3 linked regions of the Caenorhabditis elegans genome follow. The protein of the gene in region 1 purifies or fractionates together with the protein of each later gene. This does not show direct contact. Each region holds a gene or a part of one and is shown on either strand. Other genes may lie near its edges. The genes, in order: rsp-4, snr-1 and dpm-1.

What was found.
Region 2: the proteins of rsp-4 (region 1) and snr-1 fractionate together in Caenorhabditis elegans (co-fractionation; one large-scale study listed by BioGRID). This does not show direct contact.
Region 3: the proteins of rsp-4 (region 1) and dpm-1 fractionate together in Caenorhabditis elegans (co-fractionation; one large-scale study listed by BioGRID). This does not show direct contact.

What each region holds. Positions count from the first base shown.
Region 1 is NC_003280.10:5,385,840-5,392,631, forward strand, and holds rsp-4 (putative splicing factor, arginine/serine-rich 4), read right to left. Parts: upstream 2,991-6,792; 5' UTR 2,988-2,990; coding exon 2,782-2,987; intron 2,726-2,781; coding exon 2,588-2,725; intron 2,497-2,587; coding exon of another isoform or gene 2,460-2,496; exon of another isoform or gene 2,311-2,459; intron 2,111-2,310; coding exon 2,056-2,110; intron 2,013-2,055; coding exon 1,821-2,012; 3' UTR 1,572-1,820; downstream 1-1,571. Other genes in the region: ccpp-6 (Cytosolic carboxypeptidase 6), read right to left, coding at 101-342, 396-609, 664-761, 1,189-1,313, 1,397-1,478; ndx-6 (Putative nudix hydrolase 6), read right to left, coding at 3,078-3,291, 3,336-3,659, 3,706-3,916, 3,965-3,998; brap-2 (BRCA1-associated protein homolog 2), read right to left, coding at 4,598-4,675, 4,721-4,822, 4,873-5,301, 5,979-6,422, 6,485-6,583, 6,631-6,792. UniProt on the Caenorhabditis elegans protein: May play a functionally redundant role in embryogenesis.
Region 2 is NC_003282.8:17,084,739-17,090,743, reverse strand, and holds snr-1 (Small nuclear ribonucleoprotein Sm D3), read right to left. Parts: upstream 2,696-6,005; 5' UTR 2,686-2,695; coding exon 2,610-2,685; intron 2,560-2,609; coding exon 2,432-2,559; intron 2,381-2,431; coding exon 2,174-2,380; 3' UTR 1,894-2,173; downstream 1-1,893. Other genes in the region: Y116A8C.27 (ATP synthase mitochondrial F1 complex assembly factor 2), read left to right, coding at 1-2; Y116A8C.43 (Lipoprotein), read right to left, coding at 98-149, 703-920, 1,262-1,339, 1,391-1,597, 1,723-1,893; snx-13 (Sorting nexin-13), read left to right, coding at 3,415-3,521, 3,568-3,769, 3,818-3,939, 4,016-4,257, 4,309-4,407, 5,052-5,509. UniProt on the Caenorhabditis elegans protein: Plays a role in pre-mRNA splicing as a core component of the spliceosomal U1, U2, U4 and U5 small nuclear ribonucleoproteins (snRNPs), the building blocks of the spliceosome.
Region 3 is NC_003282.8:442,339-450,247, forward strand, and holds dpm-1 (Dolichol-phosphate mannosyltransferase subunit 1), read left to right. Parts: upstream 1-3,338; 5' UTR 3,339-3,344; coding exon 3,345-3,695; intron 3,696-5,299; coding exon 5,300-5,512; intron 5,513-5,752; coding exon 5,753-5,908; 3' UTR 5,909-6,111; downstream 6,112-7,909. Other genes in the region: mrpl-55 (39S ribosomal protein L55, mitochondrial), read left to right, coding at 1,647-1,719, 1,935-2,062, 2,137-2,232, 2,278-2,358.

The sequences.
Region 1 (6,792 bases):
TCTGATAAGGTAGGCACTGTAGGTAGGTACGCCTTTATGCCTGGGCCGAGAGGTTGTTGGTGACGAGGAATGCCTACCTAGGCTGTTTGCAAAAAGTTACCTATAATTTCCGAGAAAAACGCCATCTGGATTAAGCATTGGAATAATTTTGAAACAATAAACTTTTCTCAACTTCTGTGCTCGATCATCTTTGGAAACAAGAAATTCAATAATTCCATGCATAACATGACTACTCGGTGACTCTCCAGGATGAACTCGCGCAGTTAGAAAAATCATTTTCTTGGATCCTTGGAATGTGTCAGGTGTTGCATCAATTGTTATCAAGTCGACACGACGTTTTTGCTGAATTATTTTCCAAAAAGTTTCAGACTATTCCATGAATATTTCCAATTTACCACAGTTTGAACCAAAAGATCTCTATGAAAAAATGGGTATTTTCTGGATTCCAACTCATTCAACCATATCTGCATTTGTCCATAAGTATACGGTATACAGTATGCAAATTGAACAGGATCTGGTGATTCAAATATGAAAGCAAATGAAAGAATCCAACGATCATTGTGTTGGGAACTACGGTAGTAGTAGATATGGCGAGATGGGATTCGAGCCCTAAAATGTTGAAATGGCTCTTTAAAATAGAAAATCGAGGGGTTTTCATCATACCAACTATTTTGAGCATTTGATTTGACTACAGGTGCTGCAATTCCCATTTCGAATAGTGTTCTTTGTTTTGAAAAGTTCACAATATTGAAGATCGCCCGCTGAAGAATTTGCAAATTTGATAATAAAATTTTAAAGTTTAAACTGCATAATTACACTAATTTTCAAATAGTACCCAGTCAAAAAGGTGTGCGCCTTCAATCAATACAGTAACCGCCGGTAACTTTCAAAACGAGGAATGGGTTACTGTATTCTTAAAGGCACACACCTTTTAGCGCGGAAAATAGAGTACTGTAGCTAGGAAAAAAGTTGTCTCAAAATGTTCTCCCCGAAAATAAAGAACATATTTAGGTATACTGGAAAATTCGTAAATATTTCAGAACCATGGCCATTGCAGAAAAAAACTGAAAACCTACAGTAACCCGTAGGGTATTGAATTTTTTTAAAAATCGCTGCGAGACCCGACGTTTCCGCCTCAGATCCAGTTTTCGAATATCAATAATAAATACAAATTCTTCAAACATTTACCTGATTTTCAGATGCATTTTTGCATTCAAAATAGAACCAAACTCTATATTTATTATTCAAAGTGTCAGGTCGAATGAATAAATCATATTCTGAACAGGAAACTTTGTCGACTCGTCCCAAATTTCCTTAAAATTTAAACTTTTTAAATATTCAAAAAATAATAATATAATTACTTCCTTGTTTGTCTATAATTGAATTTAAAACTAACCAGATTCAAAACTTGCTTCAAAAACCAAATTTCCCTGACCAGGAATTGTATCAGGATAGCTGACATTTCCAACATAGCCCATATTGAAAATGAAATTTTGTTTTTTTGAAAACCAGACCTGAGCTCCGACACCGGAAGCCGGAAGTGTGGTTGGGTGAACATTTCTAACTGCTTTGACACTTGAGCCAATTTATTCAAGAGAAAAAAGTTTGGAACAATATTGACGGACAGAATTTCGATTTATTTTAACAGTTCTCTTGGAGAAATTAGATGGAAAATTGGAAATCATATATATTACTTGTCTTGTTGGAGGCAACTGGAAAAAAAAGACGTTTGAAATTTCAGGATCAGTGAGTAAATCATAGTAAAAACGAAAACGAAAACGAAAAATAATCAGAAATCGAAGAGGAAATTTTTTCGGAATTTAGCGGGAGTTGGAACGGCTACGACTTGGCGAACGAGATGCCGAGCGGCTTCTGGAACGGCGTTCCTTTGGAGATCCATCCTCACGTGGTGGCGGTGAACGAGATCGGGAACGAGAGTTGTCACGACGATCCGGTGAATCTCTGCGATCACGAGATGGTGGTGAACGAGTACGACTACGAGAACGTCGCGGCTGAAATTATTTAAATACATTGGTGACATTAAAAGTAACTTACAGATCTTGAGCGAGAATATCTTGGAGATCTGGAGCGTCTTCTCGGTGAGCGGGATCTGAAATTTATTAAGTTTTTAAAAGAATCAAGTTTTTGATAGAGTACAAAATACATTACTCGCTGTGAATGTTCTATTCGATAGAAAGAAGTGACAACTCAAAGACAAAGAACAACGTCTATCAATACAGTTTGCCACCGAAAGTTGAATTTCAGCAACAAACTGTAGAATATGCCGATTGAAAATATTCGGGCACTTACAAAATTGTTTTCTGCCTTTTCCACACTGTCGCCGCTGGTTTCATTCAGCAGACACAGCAACATCAAAACTGCTTTTCTCTGCATTTTCAGCAATTCTGCTACTCAAGTGTCACTCAGCAAGCATTTACAGCTTCAACAGCAGCAAAAATTCAGCTCAGCTCAGCAACATCTGGCTCTGCTGCTGTTCTATAAATAAGTCAGGAAGACAAGGGTTCCATTAAGTCTCGCGCCTAATTTTTGAGCACAACTACAAGGGGAATCAACTGAGTATACTAACCTTCTACGTCCACCACCACCTCCACGGCCTCCTCTCTCATCCGATGGTCGATCATACTTTGCAAGAGTCACACGTAACTCGCGTCCATCAACCAACTTTCCGTCTGTGCGGTCCAATGCGTGCTCAGCATCACGACGTCTAAAATAATATTGATTTTCTGATGTTTTCTCTCCAATAGTTCCAATTTAACTTACTCATAAAATCTAACGAATCCGAATCCTTTCGATTGGCGAGAGTACTTGTCCCTTGGAATGTGAACATCTCCAATGTCTCCGTATCGCTCAAAAGTTCGACGCAAATCGTTGGGCGTTGTTTGGTACGACAAGTTGTCGATTTTCAGCGAAGTTAGACCATTGATATCCGGTGCGGCACGACGATCACCACCTCCTCCACGGCTCATTTCTGAAATGAAAATCATTTATGAATTGAATATAGCTAACAGAAACGCGAAAATAAGAGGAGAACATGAGAAAAGAGAGACATGTGGTAGTTAATGAGAATGAGATTCTTTTAGAAGATCAATAAAATGAGAATGAGAAGCGTAAAGTGGCTCATTTGAATTAACTGCAATCCAGCGTAAAGCTTTAGCATCATCTCCTGCTTGAAGAGCCACATTTTTCAGAAGGCCTTTTGAATCATGAAAATTGAAAACAACAGTCTCCATCCATGCGTTATCAGTGTTACGTGGGTCATCAACGTAACCTCTGTAAATGAAACATTGAGTGGGATAAAAGAGCTGTGAATGCACCTGTATAACTCTTTACCATTATTCCACAATTCATCAAGATTTTCAGAATCGACAATTCCATGCATTGCTTCTTCTGCGAATTCGCGCCGTAGAGTTTGTGAAACATGCTCTCCAGCATCCACCATTCCTCCAGGAATTGCCCACTCGCCATTGTCATGACGTTGAACTGCAACAAACTCCAAATCACCATTGTCGTTTGTTCTAGAAACGATCGGATCTGCTGCGTGGTTTGGACCCCAACGACCAAGCAAACCACGACCAGAAAGTCCCGTACGTCCAATAGGATTTAGTGGGCGAAGGGTGACAGGATCAAATGAGTACTGACTGGAAGGTTTCTTGATTGATTGAGTATATACACTCATAAACGCACCAAACATATGACACTCTATTGATTTTCCCATCGATCGCATTCCAAGACGGTTGGAACGTTTTCTCATCGATTTCTGGGTCTGCCCAAACAGCTCCATCAACTTTTGGATCGGTGTGAGCCGGAGGATTGTATCCTGACCATTCTTGGCTCCATTTGACAAGATTATCAGGCACATTTAGTCGGTGAATGTTACTACCAAGGTAAACCGTATCTAGAGGTTAAATTTGTATTTAATGTTAGATTAATACATTGTTTATACCGATATTTCTGCATTTTTGATGAACGAAACTCATTATCGGACGACACAAAAGATGATTCCAAATTGTCATAAATTGCCCAAAAATCGATAATCTTGGTTAGTGAGTGTAAAAATGCGGCAGAAAACTTTTGAATTAGAGAAATACGAAGAGTTTCGAGAAATTATGAGAGCAGTGATATTAAAAGTTGATGGAAATCTTGAAAAAAAGAGAAAATAATTTGTAAAAGATAAGTATCGAGAAAAATCGAAGGAAACAAGAATGATGGCCAGCGGAGACGTTTAAAACGAAGTGTGCGTTCTTAGTGAACACAAGAGTTGCGTCAGCACCGAAAATGTGTCAGCAAGGAAAGAGGAGGGAATTCGAAAAATAGTTTTTGACTCGTCGTTTAATAACGATTGAAAACATGGTACATAATATGAAACCAAAAGACACTCGAACGATATCATTTTATTCATAAGCGAATGCATTAAATAAACTACCGGCTGCATACATATATACCGCACAAAATTCGATGAGATACGCGAAAGAAAGCGAATAAATATTCAAGTGAGACTAACCATATATGAAAAGACTATTAAAGAAATGTTCAATATGCAAAAATTAAATAGGACATGGATCTCCTGAGATGCCAACTACTTTTTCTTCTTTCTGTTCAATTTTCTCGACGAGGAGGACGACGAATCGAGTTCAACTTGACTTTCAGTTATTTCCTGTAAATTAAACATTTTTATTGTGGCGAGCATTGGTTAACCAACCTCTTGAGTTATTTTTCCAGCATCCAACTGCTCTTTCAGCTTATTTTGAGTTTCAAAATGCATCAAAAGATCATTGACTTGTGACTGAAGATCTTCGATTTTCTGAAAAGAAAAGCTTTCAAGAGATCAAGGGAATCTATTTAGACGAATACCTTTTCATACTCGGTTCGAGCAGTTTTCTGACTTTCAATAAGCTTTTCCACTTGACCTTTCCACACTTGCTGATCTTTTCTCAACATTTGATTTATTTCACGTTCATCTTTCAACTCATTTGCAAGCTTATTCACTTTTTCATTTGTCTGCGTTGCTCGTTTCTCTGCCACTTTTCTCGCCGTCACAGTATCATCTAAATCTCCTTTTAATGATTTCAATTCAGTTGATCGTTCCGTCAGTTGATGCTCGAGATTCTCTACTTGAGCATAAGCAGTTTTCTCCATTTTTGACATCGTTTGCTCCATATCGTGACGTAGACCTTCAAAATATTTCCGTTGATCCTCAAGTTGACTGGTCAGGAGTAGAGTGTATTCGAGTTTGATTCCCTCAAGCTTGTCTCCACCCTTTTGGTTTTTGTCATCAAAGCTCTGCAATTTTCAACATTTTTAGGGAATTTGAGTGAAGACTAAACATTCTGGTCTATTTAGTCAGAATACTTGAAAACAAAATTTTAAATGAATTTATAAATTTTCTGTATAGAATGAAAAGGCCACAAAACAGTGCTGGACTTTTTTTTTGCTTTTTTTTCTGTTTTTCAAAGGTATTTTTTCACGAAAAAAAAAAAATTTTGCTTTATGATAGCAAAAATAAAGTAAAAAATCAAACACTTTGGATTTCAAACACTTTTAGAACATGATCATACTTATTATTCAACGATAAAGGGGAAAATGAATATATTACAGGATTTTAGCACTTATTCCTAGGCAGAACAAAAGTATTTGTGTGATAATTAATTTGAAACGCATTTACAGACGCATATATATATATATATATATTTGTTTTCAAACAAAAACCAATAGAATTCAATGAGAAAACCCGAAAAATTGCATCCAAAAAAATTAATTGATTCATTGCCCGAGAGGAGTACACGGCCGAGAATTTTCAAAACTAATTAGTGCGCGAAATTCAAATTAGTTATACGAAAAGGTTGATTTTCGGCACTTTGAAGCCTCAAAACATTCTTTTTTTTTGTTTCCACCAGTTTTTTAACAAAAAATTATTGTTTTTAAATCAACAATTTTTTTTTGGTCCAGTATGAACATACCGCATTCGATTCTCTCTGATACTCGACAAGTTTCCCATCAGCTCCATTTTCAATCAATCTATGCACGTAATTGTCTCCAGCATAATCCCAGACTCGTTCTCCTCCAACTTTCAAACTATAAGTATGTGAAGTGAGCTCCCAATGTCGTTGTGCATGTTGTTCTGCGTATCTTCCACAACCTATATTTCCACAAATTAGACAAATCCATAGATCGTTGCTCATTCCACAATCATTACAACGTTGCTCTGCGACAACTTCTGGAGATTGAACATATCGACAGACTGGACAAGTATTGTCTGCCCATTGTTCCAGGCAACGAGCATGAAATGAATGATTACATAGAATTGCAAGAACACTATCATCCATTCGTTCCAGACAAACTGCACAAGTTGGAAGCTCCGTAAGAGATGTATCATCGGAGGAGAAGAGATCATTCGACGTTGTCTGAAATTTATAAATTGTTTCGAAATATCTGGAATTATTGAAATAAAATAATAATAACTTACACATTCAATTCTATCCACAAAGAAAAGCGTGCAACAATACGATTCGAGATCATTAAACGGGCAATTGTTGAATTCCTCGTAGAATGTTACAGCATCATTCTGAAATAAATATTTGCCAATTAATCGTTAGTATAACTTGAACCTACATGTTCCTTGAACTTGATAATCAACATATACTGATTTGGCGCTGGATCTCGAACAACTTTAATACTAACAATCATCGGAAGTGAGATACACATGAATGATATAATCTCACGAACTTCAACTTGTGCTGGTACAGCATACATACACAACATTCGGCACTGTGC
Region 2 (6,005 bases), on another chromosome or scaffold:
AATTTCTTTTTTAAAATCTCTAGTTTTTAGCTTGTTTTAGTAATTGTTTGTTTTGTTTTTTTTAAATTCATTTCTTCATTTTAATTAAAATATTATTTTATAAATAACGCATCATACATTGGTATTCATTGTTCGCGAAGAAGTAGAACCTGAAAAAATGTCGTGTTATTATGGAGACGTAGAAAAATGCAAATTTGGAAATCGCGCTCCACCGAACATTGGACCTTTTAGACGGGAAAGCTAGAAAATCAAATGTTTTTCGAGCACTTTTCGTCAAAATTACTTTTTTAACAGATTTTTGGCATAAAAATTTACGGAAAATACGAAAAATTCTCGAAAACGGGGAAAATCAAGCATTTTTCGACTTTTTTGTGATTTTTTGAGTGATTTTTATGCATTTTATGACGAAATTGAATTTTTTTGACAAAAAAAATTATAAAACACCACCAGAGAAATAACGAAAATAAGCCGAAAAATAACTGAAAACGTTTGAATTTATCGTTTTGCCGCCAGTTCCTAACGGTACCCAACTTTTTCGCGTTGGAGCGCGATTGCGCCTCGATTTCAAAAGGCGCGTACAAATTAAGAAGTGCCGTTGAAATATTACCGGAAATTATTGAAAATTCGGTTTTCTCATCATAAAAACTGATTTTTTTTACTTTTGAAAGAAAATTGAATTTTTTTTTGAAAATTCAAACTTACTCTATATAACTTGCTTCTTTGGTGATTTTCAACAAAATATAATAATCATCTCTTAAAATATTCTCTGCAAATTGCCAAATCACATCTTCCCCGACAAACGTCGGTACACGAATCGTAATTTGGCATACAATAAGGGAATATATTTTTCTAATTTTCAGAAGGTTATCCAAATAATTTTCAATTTCTTTCATTTCAAAGATGAAAATATGCTCTATTACCTGGAAAACATGCCCTTTTCGAAATTAAGGTTGGTGCAATCGCGCTCCACGGAATCTCGTTGGGTATTGGCGGCAAAAATTAGACATTCAAACGTTTTCACATGTTTTTTTTAAACATTTTTACGTTTTTTCAGTTGTTCTTGACGATTTTCAGAAAAAATTACATTTTTAGCAGAAAAATAATTTAAAAAAACGGTCAGAGCAACAAAAAAAAGACTAAAAAAGGTCGCAAAATATTTGAATCCCCAGTTTCCCCGCCAAAACGAGACCTTTTCGCGTTGGGGGCGATTGCACCTCGATTTCAAAAATATTTTTAAATTAAATTTGTATTTTCAGCTTACATTTTCTTCTTTAAATTGAAGCAGAGCATTGTTTAGTTGTGATTTTGAAAGATCATCTACTTTTTTATAATTTTCAAGCTGAAAATTTCAGAATTTAAAAGTTCATTTCTTCGACTATAAACTACAAACTCCACGGAGGTTCTCCCTCGAATCGATAATCAAATATTTGCAATTGAGCATCTTAAAATCGGTATTATTCAATATTTGGAGGGAATTTCCCCCGAAAAACACGAAATTATTGCATTTTTGAAACGGAAAAAATGTTCCAGACTCTTCCCAAGTGAAATATTCCGAGAGAGCACATCGTTTTACAGTGTACGGCAGATGTGAAAGCTTCTGAACAGAGAAATAAAAAAAATAACAGAATATTCGCGACCGCGACGCAATAGCAAGCGGAGCGGCTCGAAAAAAAACGTGGATTTTCAAGTTTTTCGCTCAATTTTTTGCGAAAAATTACTCACTTTGCCGGTAAACTCTAAATATTTTAGCACACACTGGTCTGCCCGTGCCAAAAGTTTGGCTCTATCCTCTATCCCTTTTGGAAAATGCTCTGCATCATCGAATGCTCCATTTAAATGCGAATAAAAGAATAAGGAGAACAAAAAGAAGACGACTGGCGAATGATTTACCATTTCGCCAGTTATATTCTAGGCGAATACCACACTTTGGAATTGTGGTAATCTTACAGGGAAATCTCCGAAACCAGTTTGTCGTCGTCTTTTTTCTGGAAAATAATTTATGAAAAATGAAGTATGATTCAACAAATAACAAAGTGCGGAGCCGGGACAAGCAGGAGATCACGTCAAATTCAACGGTCTGCGCACGCTTTGAAAAGAAGAGAAACTGGAAGAATGGGGGACTCGAGAGAGAGAAAAAATACAGAGAATTGATTATATTTGCGCCGTGTTGTGCTTATCCACGGAACGTTGGAGCTCCTCCCGGGCGAGACATTCCACGTGGTCCTCCACGGCCCATTGGTCGACGGAAAGCGGTTCCACGTCCTCTTCCACGCTGATCGAGACCTCCCAAACCCATTCCAATGGCTCCTTTCTGGGCTCTTCCGATATTTTTGAACATTGGCGCGTTTTTGAGCATATCCGGCAGAATCATGAATCGGATCTGGAAATTGATTGGTTTACAGCTGAAATTTAGAGAAAAATGGTGAAAAACCTTGTTTCCGCGAATGAAAACGTTGTCCAATTGATGACTTCTTCCGTCGCGGAAAGTCACAACGGTTTCAGCCAGCTGACAGTTCATGTTGTCTTCGGCTTCAGAAAGTTTTCCTCGGTAAACTTCGCCTGGAATAGAAAAGTATTTATTGAGCGACGGGAAATTCGAAAATGATTACCTGTAACGGTTTCGAGCGTGACCATGTGACCTTCGGCCTCATGAAGAATCTTGATTGGGACACCAACTGAAGTCATTCTGAAAATTTTGATTCTGTAGATTCGGCTTGAAGGGAGAAAACGTTAGAAAAAAGAAGTAGAATCGCCTAAAATTTCAGATTTTCACACTTTTCACGGTAAAGTTTGTTCTCATTTGAAATATGCTGAGCATAATAGACAAAAAAGGAATAAAACCCCGAAAATGAAGTTTTTTCGGAAAATTCTAGAATTTGCACGCGTTGCAAGAAAAATGTGGCAACAAATGGATTTCCAGATGAGAAAAATGTGTTTTAGAACTTTATTTTGAAGAAAATCTAGAAATAAAACGGTTTTTCTTTCTAAAAATTACGAAAAATGAAGAGCTCAAAATGAAAAATGAAGGGAATAAAATTCGAAAATAAGGCACGCGACGCAGCACGCAGCGTGTGCAGTGGGGCGCGTTTGCGGGAAGGGCCTCATGAAGTTAACTTCCCGGAGACGCAAGAACGCCGAAATTGGAGACTAGCATTTATGTAAAATGCAAATTTAAATATTTAATTAAATGAAAACTATTATATTATTCTTAATCAATTATAAATACTAAAAAAATACAGCAATTTTCATTTGTAAAGCTGCCAGAAACTATTTCAAATCTCACGTTCCCTTGTCCCCGAGATACTAGTTTTACGGAATGCGCATAGAATTTTTTAATTATTTACCAGATTTTACAGATGAATTTCCATAATTTTATGTAAAATATGAAGAAAAATCGGAAAATTCTCTAGAAAAATGTCAAATCGGCTTTATATTCTCCTTGCTGTAGTCCTTTTCCTAGCAACATTCGGTTCAACCGGTCTAATCGTTCTTCCAGCCAGTATCCTCTGTTTCGTAGCGGGGTAAGCTTTAATTCTTTAGAAAAACCTTAAACTGGAATACCTTCAGATTTCTCTACATTTTCTATCAAACGGGACACGAAAAACATGACGAAATCGCTGGAATTTTATCCGAAAATCTGCAAAAAGGAAAATTATCTGCGGGAATTGAGGCTCTGCTGAAAAATGGAAAACGACTCAAAGAGCAAAATCAATATGTGGAGGTGCATTCAATGTGCAATTCACCGCAATTAGATTTGGTTTTAGAACAAGTAGGGATTTATGTGGACTGAAATGTTATTAAAAATATTTTTTTTTAGATTCTCGGCAATATAACACGGGATTACGTCGGCTTTTGGTATAAAACACTTTCAAATGATAATATTTTTGAACAAAGCTTAAAGAGAACCTCCCGAAGATCAATTGCCTCATTGACACAATGGTGTGTAGCTCATTAATAAAATTTTATTTTATAAAACAAAAAATGGAAAAAAATCAATAAAATCTCAAATTTCCAGTCTCCGCCAGGTTGATTGGGTTCCATTGCTCACGCGTGACGTTGTCGACGATTTTGCTTCTCATTTACGGCTTTTCCGGAAAGCTAAGGAAAGAACTGCATTTCAAGCGAAGGAAAAAGATAAAACATTATCCCCTGAAGATTTGGAAGCGGAATTGCTCAGCAATTTCTTTGATTTTGAGCTGGAAATGGAAAAATCGTTGTGTAGAGATCTTCTTTCAACTACACCGCATTATGAAAATGGTAAAAATTGAGATTTTCGATGAAAAAATTCAATTTTTTCCGATTTTTCAGCCTATCTTCATGATCTTGTCGATATAATTCTCTATTTAATAATGCCACCGGAAGATTTTAGATGTCGGCCGCTGAGATTCTTGCTTCGAGAAGTTGTTGGTCAGTGTCGGAAGATATTCAGGAAATTGAGAAAAATTGAAAAAATAAAATCAATTTTTAAATCGAATTTTCTTCTAAAAAGACAAAAAATGACCGAAATTTGATGGAAAATTTAATTTTTTTCTGAAAAAAAAGTCAATGTCCCTTTAAAAGATGTGTAGATTTGCGAGCCACGAGTATACTCGTGGACAAGCATGAAAAACGTATTTTCTAGCAGGATTTCACGGTTTTTTGCGTTTTAAATTTAATTCTGCCTAAAATAATAAAAAAAATTATAGAAAAAATAATTTTTTATTGATTTTTTGTTGAAAATCGAAAAATTTTAATGCTATTTTTCGAAAAATCGGGGAAAAAACTAAAAAATATTTTTCGTTAACTTTTTTGAAATCCAAAAATTTAAAGTTTTTCGATTTTTCAAAAAATAGCAACAAAACCATCGAAACACACAATTTTTCTTCAGAAAATAGGAAATCTCAGACATTTTTGCCGAAAAAAACGCTTGTCCTCGCATAGTACACGGTGCTCGTAAATCTACACAACTTTTAAAGGGACATAGAAGGTCTCGCAACGCTCTTTGCTGGCGAAAAATGGATAAAAAAACGAAAATAACATTTAAAAATCTAGTTATTATTTTTTTTTTTCAGTAAGAAAAGTGATTCTGCCTACTCTGGACTACCTCTCCGATCCAAATGAAATATTTCAATTAATCGTTTGGCTTCTCAGTGAAGTGGAACCAAAACCCGATGATTTTGTGGCGTGTCTCACGAGTTCAACATCCATCGAAGAGCTGGAAGCCGTGTTCCGAGCGATTGCTGACGAAAAAATTGTAATGAGAGGGAAGGATTCCGGTGGAGAACAGGATACTTTCGTTAAACAACAACTAGCCAGTCTACAATTCGTCGAAAATCTAGTTCAGCGGCGAATCGACTTCTTGGGATCCAAAGATTCCGCGTTGCTCACGAAATTTGGCGAAGATGGAGATCAACTTGTACAGCTTCCACTTCACGTTATTCTCACGAATTCTATTGCTCTGTCACAGTTCTGCGAATTTCTCAAATCAGCTGGCGGTCAAAATTATATTGATCTTTATTTAGCCATTGAGGTACATTGGAAATGTCCTACTTGTGTGATTTTGCAGTTTTTTTGGCTTAGTTTTGCTTTAGAACACCATTTTTGATGAAAAACACTGAAAAGATCAGCGAAAATGACCCAAAATAAAGAATTTTCGGTCAAAAATCCTGCAAGAAACGCATGCCGCACAGAAAAATGGGCGGAGCGAAGATTTGCAACCCTGCGGCGCGCCGAGCGTGTACTTCTCGTGGACAACTGGAAATTAATTTTTTGCATTTTCTCAGTCTTTCTGCTAAACTTTTTGGTTTTAGGTCATTTTTGCTGATTTTTTTTGTGTTTAACATTCAAAATTCGCAATATATCACTTATTTATAGTGTTTTCGTTCAAAAATTTCCCAAAATCGAGAGTTTGTGGTTTTTTAACCGTTTTCATTGTGAAAGCTTGAAGAAATATGATTTTAGATCTGAAAAATCCAAAATTCCCTATTTTTCAACTCGAAAGTGTCAAAAATCAAAAAAGTTTGATA
Region 3 (7,909 bases), on another chromosome or scaffold:
AATTAACTGGTATAGCCAGTTGGCCAAATTTACAGTGCACGACAAATTCGGCAAGTTCGGTAAATTTGCCGAGCTTAACAAACTCCTAAAATGTTATATTTTTCAAAGTCTTTAGAGCACCAAAACTACTGAATTCTTAACACACATCTGGTTTCCAAACAAGTTCCGTGTAGTGTGTCTTCTTCAACATCAAAACAGCTCAATTTTGTGCCATTTTACAAAATTTTTGAGGACAAAATCAATAGTTTCGGCTAAAATTGTATTGTCAATTTTTGATGTTTGCGGTAAATTTGGTAAATTTGCCCCACACCCCTGATCCCCACACACTTATTTAACATTTGTGAATAATAGGCGGATCATAGTTGGCCACTTTTTTCAATTTTCCAAAAAAATCGAAAACTTTATTAAAGGTCAAAATTCCCCGATAATTTAGTTACTGTAGCTTCAAAATCCACAAACACCGTGTGCAATAAATACACGTAAATTCACGGAAACTTGCGGGCTTTTAATCAAATGGTAAGCGGAAACTCAACTTTCAATACGGCGTCCTGCGCGTGAAATGCGCTAAATTGGAAGAGGAGACCCAAAAAAACAAAACCTATTCCAACTTTTTATACTGTAGTTTGTCTTCAGTAAGCAGCATCTTGAAAACTATGGAAGATATGAAAAACTTTTCAACTAGAAAACTAAAGTTGATAATGTAGCCAACATTTCTCAGTTAAGAACTTTTTCGTAAGTGAAGCCATTGAGTAGTTACAACAGTGGTAATGTATGCGCAATGGGATTTTATCAAAAACGTAGTACTTGTGTTTTTAAGTGCGTATATCTTTTTAAATAATAAAAGAATTAAAAAAAGTAAAATCAAGAATTGTAGTGTTTTGTATGCTGAGCATTTCTTCGGCTAAAAGTTTTTTGATATCTATGCTCACGAGAGAGCTATGCTCTTTTGGAAAACGTACAAGTTAAATTCCTTGATATAACCTCGCTAGCTGTTATAGATCATAACTCAGTAACCAGTGACGGAATCAAAAAACGCTAAACTAATGAAATGTTCAAAATTGTTCAAATATTATTTTCATAATTGACTGCTTCCTGTTTTATTTCTTATTCGCAAAGTTACGCACGTTTAAATAATATTTATCGTGATTTCTGGTATATTGAACTACAAAAATTAAAATTGTTATTGAAAATCTTATTGAACAATCCATTTTTCATTCAATTTTAATATTTTTTTCAAACGTAAATTAGCAAGAATTTGAAGCTTTGTTCAAAATCTTCCGTTTTTCGCCGCTTTTCACGTTTTGAGCGAAAGAGCGTGCGCAAGTGAGAGGTGAAAGATGACGAGAGCGACTTGCTTGCGCGTTTCACCCGCAGGAGGCCGTGTATAAACTTTATATATACTATAAAGTTTGTTTACCGTTTCGAATCAGTTCCTTTATCTTTTTCAATAATTTCTCGCATTTTTCTCATTTCTTATTTTAATTTTATTTGCATTTGCCGCGTAAGTGACACGAAAAGTGAGCGCCGCAAACGCGCTCCGCTGAGAATTTGTTTGTGCACTCCTCTCGAATAAGTCAAAAATACACGTCTTTATTAAAACTTATTGATTTTTCAGTGTATTCCTGTGATTTTTCTTGAATTTCTAAATGTTTTTGCAGATGAACACTCAAATTTCCATGCGAAACTTGCTAACAAGCTGCTCAAAAGCCATCACAGCAGGTTAGTAAAGGAAAAAGGTCGAAAAATATCATTTGAAGGTTATTTTCAAAAAAAAAACGTGGCAGAACATTTTTCGTACAACATTTTTCATGTGAAAATTGCAATTACTATTATTTCCATTCATTTCTCCTCAAAATCAGACTTTTTATAAACCATTTCCCCCTTCCTCTCCCTAAATCAAAATCACTATTCCCGCGTGAATTTCACATTTTCAGAGAGAAATAATGCGTGGAGAGCAAGTTTGGGAAAAATCAGCCGTCGAGACTACTTGCATCGGTACCAAGTTAAATTTATCCGTCCGGATGGTTCGACAATCATGGTTCCCGCCGCTGAACCGAGACAGGTTGCTTTTTGAAAAATACATATTTAATTGCAGTTTTTATATTTAATCAGTTTTTTAATTGTACATATTTTCAGACATTCCAATCTGCCGTCGACCTCAAACAGTTGAGCGAGGATGAACGACGACAACGGCTGGCTGCTCGTAAACCAAAAGCCAAGATCACAAAAACAGTAATTATATAATTAACGATTTCAAATTAAAAATGGTTTTTTCAGGAAGTTATCGATGACACCTTCGATGAGTCGGAGTATATGAAGTTTTGGTCGGCACCCGGGCAGAAATCCACGAAAAAATAAGAAAAATCTCGTTATTAGCATGTAGTATTTCTTTTTTTTTGTTAGATTTTTTGTTTTCGTTATATTTACTATGAATATCGACTTTATTCTCGATCTGATTAATATTGATTTGTGCGTTTAGTCGCAATTTTATATCAATTATCTCTATTTCACTAGGGAACCCCGTAACAGCTTGGTGGATAGGAAACCAAGAAGTTTGTGGAGGAAAATCGAGTTTCCGGTCGAAATTAGCTTGAAAATACTAATATGCTAAAAACCTCTAAAAACCTCATTTTTCAGCGATAAACGCCGAATTTTCAGCCATTTTCCGAGAAAAACGCGAATTTTCGGGTAAAAAACCCGATCTCAGAACGAATTTGACTTCAAAAATGGAAAAATGCGATAAGAAGCGTGAAGTTTCACTGAAAACTCTTAATTTCAACGTTTTTTACTCAAAAAATCGTATTTCTGGCTCAAAAACAGTGAAATTTATCATTTTTTTTCTGTGAAAAAATCGATTGGGGGGACCAATAAAAGGTACATTTTTGTGACCCACTGACCGAAAATGTACTTTAATCAAAGAATAAGCGCGTAGTAAAGGACCATAATATTTATTAAAGATTGATAATTGAATAAAAATTTAGTTCCAGACGGTGTCACACCGAGAAGGTGGAAAAATGTGATTTTAGCTGAAAATGAGCTTTTTCTAAAACTTTGACCCATAACTTTTTTTTGAGAAAATTTCAAAACTTCTCATTACGAAATTCGGTAGTTTTGAATCATTTGGTTCTAAAAAGCAAAGTCTTAGATTTCGGTACTCCAACTTTAATTTTCAGTGACACTAGTGTTTTTAAGACTTTGAGACCGATTAATTTTGTTTTGATTTCGAGTAGCCAGTATTTAACACAAGCTTCCGATTGGTATACTTTTTGTTTCTCTTATTCACCAAGTTTTTACAGGGATCCCTAGTCAGATTATTCAAAAGGAATTTTATGTTTCAGATTATTATGACATCCACTCCGAAATATTCGATAATTCTGCCAACCTACAACGAAAAAGAAAATTTGCCGATTTGCATTTGGTTAATTGAAAATTATCTGAAAGAAGTTTCACATGAAGTGATTATCGTTGACGATGCATCACCAGACGGTACTCAAGGCATTGCAAAACTTCTTCAAAAGGAGTACGGAGACGATAAGATTCTGATCAAGCCACGAGTTGGAAAACTTGGACTTGGTACAGCCTATTCACATGGATTATCGTTTGCACGTGGAGAATTTATCATTCTTATGGACGCAGATCTTTCTCATCATCCAAAATTCATTCCGGAAATGATTGCGCTTCAACATAAGTATAAGGTATACATTATTCGTACATTTTTTCTAAAAATTGTTAAAAAAACAGAACTTTTTTAAATTTCAAAATTTATAGGTGTACAAATGTTATTTTAGTTAAATAATAGTTAATTTGATGAAAGTTTTCCAATTTGAGAAAAATATGGCAAGAACTTATTATGCAACGTTAAGCATTTAAAATTTATATAGAAATGTAGAACACAGCATGTTCTATCTGAAAATAACATATATTTCTGTTAAAAAATTGAAAAAAGTCCTCAAATAGTACCTGAAAATTGTCGTTTGACGAAAAGGTGCCGTTAAAAGTTTTTTCGGCAAACTGTAACTTTCAGGCACAGTTGGATCAGGGGTGTGCTGATAATATCCGATTCACTATCAGCCGAATTTCTGCCAGTTTAGCTAATTTAAACTTTAAGTTATCCGGTAGCCGATGTTGGCCGATCTTAGCCCAATTTCCCGGTCTGCTAATTTCACTAACACATTTTTTTTTGGAAAAAATGTTGGGGTTTTATATGATTTTTTCTATTTGAACAGTCGTTCATCACTGAATTTGCTAAAAAATAGTGAACATCACCGCAACTTTTTTCGAACGAGGGCCGAGAAAAAATGCGAAAAATCGGTGTTTGCACACAAAACACCGCATTTTACGACATTTTGTACTTGCTTTGTTTTCTCTTGTTTTTCACCAATTTTTCCCGTGTTTTCTTATCAAAACTGATAAATAAATTTTTTTGCTAATGCTAAAATAATTTCCAGATGAAAAAATATGTATTCAGTCGGCAAGTAGCGGTGAAAGTCGTCAATGTAATATGATGGATTACGGGAATACAAAACCCAAACTTTTTCCCAAACATGATACATATGCTGCTCTGATGCTGAAACTACCTGATTTTCATAACGAGACCGCTGAAAAAGTTTTGAGGTTTTCAAAATTCAACTTTTTGTGCGAAAATCTCTACTTTTTCACCAAAAAAGTTGAATTTTGAAAGCCTCAAAACTTTTTCAGTGGTCTCGTTATGAAAATCAGGTAGTTTCAGCATCAGAGCAGCATATGTATCATGTGTGGGAAAAAGTTTGGGTTTTGTGTTCCCGTAATCCATCATATTACATTGACCACTTTCACCGTTACTTACAGACTCAATACACAATTTTTTCACTTGGAAATTGTTTTAGCATCTGCAAAAAATATTTATTTATTAGTATTAATAAGAAAAAATGGGGAAAATTGGTGAAAAACGAAAGAAAACACGCGGAAAACAAAGCAACATAAATGGCCGCTGAAACTTGTCGGGGACTCGGCCATGGCCTAGAAACCTTTTTGCCTCGTCCCTCGTTCGAAAAAAGTTGTAGTGAATAGCCGTTAGCCGGCTTCAAAAAAGTCGGCATTAGCCGATCTATCTGTTAGCCGAAAAAGTCGGTTATCCGCACACCCCTGATTATCATGTTGAAATGCGCCAGTTTTGTGCGTTTGCCGAAAATAATGTCTCACCTAATATCAAGTTTCCGATAATAGAGGACATAATATTACATTTAAAAAACCATCACATTTATATCAACACAATGCCTTTTTTAAGCATAAAAATACAATTTTTTTATTTATTTTTCAGCTCGACATCGTGACAGGAACACGCTACAAGGACGGAGGTGGTGTTAGTGGATGGGATTTGAAGAGGAAGACGATCAGCAAGGGAGCCAATTTTTTGGCTCAGTTTCTGCTGAATCCAGGTGTATCTGATTTAACAGGATCATTTCGTCTTTATAAGAGAGATATTCTGTCGAAGTTGATTGCTGAAAGTGTAAGCAAAGGATACGTTTTTCAGGTGAATATAGGTTTAAATTTTGAAAAATAAAGATATTTCTGCAACTCGTGCACACCATTTACCAAAAACCGGAGCCAATGAAAAAAGGTTTTTATTGATCAAGAAACAGAAATGCAATCAAAACTTAAGCTTATTCTGAGGCTCTTCGAAAATTCAAAGTTAAATATATATAAAGAAGATTTTTTAATAACAAAATACTGTGAAAAAGATTTTTTAATGTTTTTAAAATCCGAATTGCAGATGGAAATGATGTTTCGAGCGAAAAAATCGGGTTATCGTATTGGGGAGGTACCAATCTCATTCGTCGATCGATTCTTTGGAGAATCAAAGCTCGGAAGTCAGGAAATCGTGGATTACGCAAAAGGACTTCTCTATCTGTTTGCATTTGTTTGGTAGATTCTGTGATATAATTTGTATTCATTTTACTATTTTTAATTTAAATTTTAAGAATTAAAATTTCTGAGAGTTTTATAGCCAGAGCGCTTCATTGTACGTTTTCCAAATTTTTTTATTATGACCTTGGGGATTCCTATTTATATTGTTTCCAAACATTCTTGTTTAAATTATATTTTTTCTTCGAATAAATCGTTATAATATTTTTTAAGATGCCAACAAAATTGGAAACAATTTGTGCACAAATGTTCTGGTTGGCTAAGTGTCAAGTTGCCGAATAATTAAAGCTCGGCAAATGCCGAAAAATAGAAGAAATATGTATCCAATTTTCAAAAAGAGATTAAAATTTTCAGATTATCCAGTGTTGGGAGTTAAAAATGTTATATTTTTGTACCAATATCTCGGCAAATCGGTCCAGTTTTCCAGGGCGCTTTCAACGTCTTTCAACGACTACCCCCGAGCTGTGAATTGTGCCCTGGAAAGCTGGCGATGAGCGGCAAACTCCAGAAAAAAAAGTGGGTGTGTGTGCCGCACACTGCCGTACTCTGTTGCACATTTCTGTGCATTTCTGAGTCACTATTTTTGGTGAACGGCCAGAGTCACTATATTTGGTGAACGGCCCAAATATAGTGACTCTGGCCGTTCACCAAGAACAGTGACTGTCTCGGTAGACGTATGCGCACATTCCGCGCACCTTCCGCGCACATTCTGCGCACATTGGTTTTTGTGTGTTTTTCATCCAGAAATCATGCATTCTGCGCACATTCCACGCACATTGCCTTTGGTGTGGCCATTTTCCACACCGCTAGCCCTTTGAGCACATTCCGCGCACTTTCCGCGCGGATTCTGCGCACATTGACTTAGATAATCTACAACTATTGCTCAATTTCTGCTTTCTATAAATATTTTAACGTTGTTTAATTTTTATGTCTGAGTCCATATTTACTAGTACTTCTGATATCTGGAAATACATAATAGTCAAGAGAAAAGACAGAAATAATCGTAAAATGCCAACAACGTCACTGTAGAGTTCAAATATGTTTTCCCAAATATCATATTTGAGCTAACAGGTTGTAAACAGGTTGTAACGTCGTCTATCGTGATTGATTTACAACTACATAATGTCCCACAATTTAATAATGTCCCACATTTTAAGATAAAATAACTGTCAAATTTTTGTTTCAAAAATTGAAAATGTGGCTCCTGTTCCTAAACAGTTTCATCAAAATAACTTCAAATAAAGAAAAACTATATACAATCAGCTTATCTAACAATTTTCGTAAGTCTAACTAGTCTGCCAAGCAGCCTCTAATAAATGCCGAGTGTACAGACTCCGCCCCTTTTTCGCGTTTTTTCGCGTTTTTTTTAGCTTGCGAAAAAATGTCACACTTCGTTTTCATTAATAACTCCAGAGCCGTTTGACTGAATTTTATAATATTTGACAGCTTACTAGAAATATTTCACCCCACGGGGGAGCAAAAAACTGCACAAAGTTTGGAGCAAAACTGAGCTCAGGGCGGCTTTCCCCAGTTTGAAAAAAATTTTTGTTGCTCTTTTTACCCCCAAAAAACCATGTTTTAATTGAATTAAAATTCGGATTTTGCTCGGTTTTGTTCCAAATTTATGTGCAAGATACTACTCAGAGAGGTGGATTTTTTGAAAGAAAGTTTGAGTTCATAAGTGCAAAAGGCAAAAAGTTGTGATAAAACAAAAGGCCAAAAAATGCCATTTTGCCAAAAAAAATTTTTTTTCCGAAAAAGTAGTTTTTCGTCTTTATCTCAAGTTCTACTTCATCTTTTCGACACTTTTTTTTCTACCCCACGTAAAAAAGTACGTTGAACACGATTTTCAACTCAGAATTAAGAAAAGTTTTATGAGTCGGCCGAGCAAGACGAATAAGTGCCACATTTTGCACGCTTTCCCATTTTCGCGAATCTACTTTTTCAATCATAACTCGGTCAGTTTTCAAGTTTTCTTAGTTTTCCAAAAATTGACGTGTAGGTC